Linked DNA regions of Mus musculus. The protein of the gene in region 1 interacts with the protein of each later gene in a pairwise test. Links are inferred from orthologs where the notes say so. Each region holds a gene or a part of one and is shown in the gene's direction. Other genes may lie near its edges. The genes, in order: Ybx1 and C1qbp.

Region 1 (3,916 bases):
ATGCCCACTCAGCATTTATTCTGGGTATCTAAACTCCAGTCTTAACATCAGGACTGCAAGTGATCTAACCACAGAGCCACAGAGCCATCTCCACAGAGCCATCTCTCCAGCCCTGGTCTTGGTGGTGGTGGTGGTGGTGGGGGGGGGAATGAGACAGGGTTTCTCCTGGCTGTCCCTGAACTCACTTTGCAGACTAGCCTGGCCTCGAACTCAGAAATCCGCCTGCCTCTGCCTGCCAAGTGCTGGAATTAAAGGCGAGCGCCACCACAGCCCGTCGGATTTAGCGTTCTTTTTGTATTTCTAGTTCATGCTTTTATTTACTGGGAGCTAGGAGTATGCCACAGTGCTCGTGGGGAGGTCAAGCTACAGCTTACAGGAAGAGGCTATCTTTCTCTTTCCATTATGTGGAGCTGAAGGCAAGAACTCAGGTTTGGCCAAGTGCCTTTACACACAGAGCCATCTCAGGTCCTCTTGTTTCCCCCACTCCCATCCCTTCTCTCTCTGCAGCCCCTTCTCCAAGCAGCAGCCTTTTCTTTCTTTAACGATGCTACTCCTTACTTACACCGCGAAAGCTACACTGCTCACCGGTGATCAGGGGAAGAATCTCAGGTTAAAAACACCTCTGCCCACCTCTGATTCCTACTTCGATTGGTTTCCTTTATTTGCAGTCTCCGTGAGACCCTATCTTTTCTAGGCCTTTGCACAAACCTACCTTTGCCTGAAATGTCACCACCCAACTCTTCCTGCTCCCACTCCCCAAACGCTGTGCTCACCCAACCAAGAAGTGGTGGGCGTTTAAAATTCCACCATCAGAAAGCAGAAACTAACTGGCAAACTACTTCAATCCCCAGTCAATAGTAGATGCGTAATAAAGAATGAATGAAGGTAGGCGGAGGGCTTCAGAAAGAAGGCAGCGTGTGTTTTACAGTGTATAAAAACAAGGATAGCAATCCTTGTCTACAGTGCTTAGTTTATAAAGTCAAAAACCCTAACATCCAATAAATGTGAGGCGAAATTAAATCTGATTTGTGGCCAGTATGAAATACATTTCCTCGGACGCCGGGGGAAACGATCACCCCCGCCCTGAACACGCTGAGTCGTGGCAGCTCCAGCGCCTGCGTGGTCCCTCCAAGGTGACTGGATCACCAAAAGCCTGACCCATTAAGGAGGCCCCGGCGTTCACCCAGCCGTGGGAAGGAGCCCCTTCTAGGAGGCCGGAGTAGGCCCGGCGATCGCGGCCCACGTGCGCGACGAGCGCAGCCCCATCTGGGAACGTTCCCTCTGCGCGTCCTCCCGGTACTCTATGGTGCTCACGGCCGAGGCTCTCATTCTAGTTCCGGTCTCTATGGCGGCGGAGGCCTGAGAAGCTGTGGGTCGGGCGAATTAGTCGCTAAAGATACCAATGAGAGCGCAGGAGCCGCGGAGCGTGAGCCAATAGGCGCTAGAGACCCGGTCAGGTGGTGAGATGGACAACGATGCGGACCAATGGGGGAGGACGAGGGCGGGTCTATCGCGGGGCTTATCCCGCCCGTCCCGCCATTCTCGCTAGTTCGATCGGTAGCGGGAGCGGAGAGCGGACCCCAGAGAGCCCTGAGAGCCCCACCGCCGCCGCCGGCCTAGTCACCATCACACCCGGGAGGAGCCGCAGCCGTCGCCGCCGGCCCCAGTCACCATCACCGCAACCATGAGCAGCGAGGCCGAGACCCAGCAGCCGCCCGCCGCCCCCGCCGCCGCCCTCAGCGCCGCCGACACCAAGCCCGGCTCCACGGGCAGCGGCGCGGGTAGTGGCGGCCCGGGTGGCCTCACATCGGCGGCGCCCGCCGGCGGGGACAAGAAGGTCATCGGTGAGCGCCAGAAGGGACCGGGGATGGGGCCGCGGGCCGGACCGTTAGGCGACGCGGCCCGAGCCACGGACTACGCGGCCGCCCCTCCCCCCCGAGGCCCGCGGCGCGCGCACACCGGGATCCCGCCGCTGCTCCGGCCGCCGCCGCCCCTCCCCCGCGCCCACCCGCCCCGGGGCCTCGTGCTGGGGTCCCCGCCCCGCCGCCTACGCAGCCGGAGGAGCGCGGGCTGCTTCCCCGGCCCTCACGTGCTCGCCTCCCGGGCGCACACCCACCTCGGACCCGCGCTACCCGGCGCACCCACGTGTGCGGCGAGGGCGGCGGCCCGGGCCTGCGGCTAGATCCTGGACCGACTTCCAGGGCCAGCCGGTGATTGGACGTTGTTGTGCTTTGTTTTCCAGCAACGAAGGTTTTGGGAACAGTCAAATGGTTCAATGTAAGGAACGGATACGGTTTCATCAACAGGTGAGATGCCGGGGTGGAAAGCTCGCGTCCGCCTCCTGCATGGGCCAGAGCCACCGCGGGCATGACAGGGTGGGGGATTGGGACCCTGTGTTTCTTCCTTGGGTGACGGGATTAGCGGGTCTGTAGACTCGCTTTGTGTTGCTGTTAAGTACCGATCTTGAGCTAGCCTCAAAAAGCTTTGGCACAAAGCAGGTCAAGGCAGGCGCGTCGCATGAGCCATGCCTTAACAGTTACCTTGCATCAAACTGAGGCAACTCCAGGCTAAGCACGCTTTTAACCTTGACATCCCTTTCTGCTTTGAAATTGCTATGTAAGAATGTGACCCGCTAATTAACATACAGGTGATCTTTCACCTTGTTAACCTCTCGGGGAACGGGATTTGACATGTCAGTTGCCTGAGATGTTATCTGTACTGTAAGGTTATGTTGCCTTTGTTTAGACTACTCGAATATTCAGTCCATTTAGTACCTCGAGCACATTTTTCCTATAGACCTTCTGTAGCCAAAGAGGGCTCTTCTTATTTGTCCAAACGACGAGTAACGTATCTGAAAGGAAATGGTTCTTCCTCATTTTTTATTTCTCTTACTTCCTTGTCAGGGAATCATGCTGATCAAATCAATTTTTGTTATAGCTTGCTGGAGTGGCCATAAGTCCTTGGGAACTTAGCCTTCGTTGTATTTGGCTTAGAGTTGTAAACTATACCTTCATAGATCCAGAGAAGGGTTTGTAGACGGCGGTGGTAAGTGCAGGCGCTGCCTGCACTCTGGGCTCCCTTGTGAGCCCGGCATCTTTTTCAAGATGGCTGCCAAGGCTAGTGCAGTTGCATGGGTGTAGAGCCCCGCGAGTGCCAGCAGCAATCCTGGCCGTACAGCTGTGATACTTGGCGCCATTTCAGCATTTTCTCTTACATGCTCGCTTAGAAGGCGTTAAATAAGTAGATGGTGAAGAGAGCGCTACAGAGTGGCACAGTGCTCGTGAATGGGCAGCTATAGGCTTTTAAAATAACGGAGTGATGAAAAACATTCACTGATGAACCCCACACAGTCGTGGAAACACTCAAGCAAAAGCGATTACAATCACTTAATGGACTGTTCTCTACAGTTGCAATTAGAGGGAAACATTTTGTTTTTCCAGACTCTAGGATTTCTCCTGTCACGGGCAGTTTGCCTTTCTGACCATGTGTCCTGGGTTCCTTCCCCCCCCCCCCCCCCCCCGGGTTACTAGTGAGCAAAGAAAAAAAAATGTAAGGCTTTGGTGCTTGTGGGGTTGACGTCCTGGTGGCTTTTAAAGTGGTCCTTATTCCTGGTTGGGTTAAAATGTTCATCCTGATGGTCCCAGGTGATGCGGAGAATAGTCTGCTCTCACCTTCCAGAGGACAATTTTAACCCTCAGTCCATTATAACTAGCTAGCCCTCCTTAGCAGCCCTTCCAGTTAGGCAAATTGTGGTTTTTGTATGTGTTTAATACATTTTAATATTTGTCTGGGCTTGTCACATTTTTTTGAAGTAGTGTCTATCTAAGATGTGTATACCTCAGTTTTACATTGTACATTATGTAGGTTACAGCACTTACCATCAACTTTGTTGATCATCCTTCCGGACAAGTTAAAT
Region 2 (2,997 bases), on another chromosome or scaffold:
AGGCACCCAGGCTGGTTTTAAGTTCTGTTTAAGTCCTGGTGCAGCTCGCTAGGATGGAGACATTGTTTTAGCGTGCCTTCGCACCTGCCCTACCGCAGCAGGCCTCCCTCTTCCTGTGCTAATAGTGTACCTTAGTGTGCTTCTACTTGCCGTTCTAGGATCACGGTCACTTTCAACATCAACAACAGCATCCCTCCAACATTTGATGGTGAGGAGGAGCCCTCACAGGGGCAGAAGGCTGAAGAACAGGAGGTAAGCTAGTAACACTCCAGCCAGCCAGTCTTTCTGTCCGAGAAGGAGGAACTTTTTAGGTAGATTGTGCATGGACCATGTTCTCAGAGTGTGTGGCCCCCTGTAGAGCTTAGGCTTCATTATTGGCCTGTGTCCTCTTAATACAAAGGAGCTATGACCGCCCACCCCTGCCTGTGTGGGGTATGGGAGGACTTAGTCTACAGATAACTCTCATTGGGAGTGTTTTCAGTGTGAAAGATGACAAGTGGATGGTCAACACTCGTCGTGTGACCAAGATAGGAAGGCTGGGGTGGTGGGGCTTAGAGACTTTAAATTATGTTTATTTGTATGTTTGACGCTAATGTGTGGGCTCGTAGGAAGCAGTTGCATCCTTCTTACCATGTGGGGCCCGGGGTTGAACGGAGGCCTTCAGGCTTCAGCAGCAAACTCCTTTACTGGGTGAACCGTCACTCCAGCTCAACCTTATTTATTTTATTTTGGTTTTTGAGACAGGGTTTCTCTGTGTAGCCCTGGCTGTCCTGGAACTCACTTTGTAGACCAGGCTGGCCTCGAACTCAGAAATCCGCCTGCCTCTGCCTCCCGAGTGCTGGGATTAAAGGCGTGCGCCACCACTGGCCGGCCTTACATATTTTTAACATTTGACCAGTTGAAATGTTTTCCTTAAGTTGCTGCCCTCATGGCTGGATCTAGATACCCCACTGAGGGCCACAGGATCCCCAGGCTATCTAACTAAGCAGATATCAGTCTTGTGTATGAAGAGCTGAGTCCCCTGCTGTGCTTCTGTGTCCTAGCCTGTACCCAACTCCTTAGGCCTGCCCCTTGGGTCACAGTAAAAGGAAGTTGCTGCTATTTCTGGTTAAGATGGCCACTTAGCTAGAGCCCATATGTTCCAGGCCTCCATCGTGCACCAAAACAGTCAGAGGGGAAGGAGGTCCAGGTCTGTGCTGCAGCCTTGTGTGCTCTGCAGTGTATGGGAGCAGAAACAGCCCTGAAGAATAAATAGCTAGCTGTGCCTGACGGCAGATATCATTCTGGACCCATGTGATTGATAAACTGTTTAGTGCTCTGTTGGAAGATTTGAGTGCCTTATCCACAGCCTAAGACTAAAAAATGGCTAATAGTAACCTAATGGCTATGGCTGTCAGACATTCTGAGCTTCCTATTGGTCCAGGTGTGTGCACCCTCCCAGCACTGGTGTATGCTGACTTAATTCCTGTCTCTCCAGCCAGAACTGACATCAACTCCCAACTTTGTGGTTGAAGTTACCAAGACTGATGGCAAGAAGACCCTTGTACTGGACTGTCACTATCCTGAGGATGAGGTGGGTAGGGTGGAGTCTTCTGACCTTCATGTAGCATACACAGGAAAGATCTGTTAATCTATTAGATGGAGGGGGTGGGAACAGGGTTAGAACTACAGAGCCTCTTTGCACTTCCCTTACCTCTGCTGTATCTCTCAGATTGGACACGAAGATGAGGCCGAGAGTGATATTTTCTCTATCAAGGAAGTTAGCTTTCAGGCCACTGGTGACTCTGAGTGGAGGGATACAAACTATACACTCAACACAGATTCCCTGGACTGGGTGAGTGTTGGCTGAGGGGGTGCTGGGCGTTTGCAGAGAAGTGTCCTCTTTCAAGCATTACAAGAGGGGAAATAAATGTGTCTGCGTGGGTGTGCTGAACCACACGGGAAGGTCAGCCCACAGACCTTGCCAGACCACTTTTGGGTTTTGTTTTTCAAGCTAGTAAATGTATTTTCTCCCCAGGCCTTGTATGACCACCTAATGGATTTCCTTGCGGACCGAGGGGTGGATAACACTTTTGCGGATGAGTTGGTGGAGCTCAGCACAGCCCTGGAGCACCAGGAATATATCACCTTTCTTGAGGACCTCAAAAGCTTTGTCAAGAACCAGTAGAACTCAGAGACTGCGGGCCTTAATTTAAATGGCAAGCTTTGGCCAGTGAACAAAAGCTCCCTTGGCATCAGAATTATGCTTCAAAAATGGCTGTCATCCTAATATATCGGGGGGAAGCAAGTTTAAATTACTGCTGTTACACCTCCATTCGCTATTCCTTTGGGCTTTTTTTCTCTGTACAAATTTATTATTTGTAGATTTTTGTATAACATGATGATGGACAATAAATCTGACTCCAATAAATCTCCAGGAAAGTTGAGGTTCTTTCGCCCACATCAGAACACCAAGAGCAGAGATGTCTGAAGTTTTAATATAAAATCCGTTATATACAAAAGGCTTGTGCATACAGGGCCCTCTCAGGAAATGAGTTGTTCTCAGCTCAGTAGTGAAGTGTGAGGTCGGGATGGCTAGAGGATCACAGCCCAGGTGTCACAAGTCTGGATTAAACAGAAAACAAGATAGTGTAACATCAACAGTTAGATCTTACATGGCTAAAAGTTGTCATCAGTCGTGACATGTGTACTACAAGTAGAACCACTATGAGTTAATTCACTGGAATTCAAAGAAGCCACTGCGTTCATGGACCTGTTCTACTAAACAGAAGCCATCAGCAATGTAGCTTATAAGCCTAGGCACCCTCAGAAAGCAAAACCCGACAGCTTGGGGCTTGTGGAGCCTGACAGCGAGCCTCTTTGGATTTACCAAGTATTCTAAGTCTGCTTCACAGTAGCCTCTTAAGTGATCCACACCTATACTCGCCTCATCCTTGGTATCTGAATCTTACCGTTTGCCTTGATGTGCCTTTGAGACCTAGTGACACTGAAATTTTC

The links.
Region 2: the proteins of Ybx1 (region 1) and C1qbp interact in binary tests that used the Homo sapiens proteins (3 or more experiments, as listed by UniProt). The link is inferred for Mus musculus from reciprocal best matches to the Homo sapiens genes YBX1 and C1QBP.

What each region holds. Positions count from the first base shown.
Region 1 is NC_000070.6:119,292,132-119,296,047, reverse strand, and holds the start of Ybx1 (Y-box-binding protein 1), read left to right. Parts: upstream 1-1,534; 5' UTR 1,535-1,684; coding exon 1,685-1,844; intron 1,845-2,242; coding exon 2,243-2,306; intron 2,307-3,916. UniProt on the Homo sapiens protein: DNA- and RNA-binding protein involved in various processes, such as translational repression, RNA stabilization, mRNA splicing, DNA repair and transcription regulation.
Region 2 is NC_000077.6:70,977,265-70,980,261, reverse strand, and holds the end of C1qbp (complement component 1 Q subcomponent-binding protein, mitochondrial), read left to right. Parts: intron 1-158; coding exon 159-252; intron 253-1,477; coding exon 1,478-1,573; intron 1,574-1,711; coding exon 1,712-1,834; intron 1,835-2,017; coding exon 2,018-2,167; 3' UTR 2,168-2,416; downstream 2,417-2,997. Other genes in the region: Rpain (RPA-interacting protein), read right to left, coding at 2,575-2,604.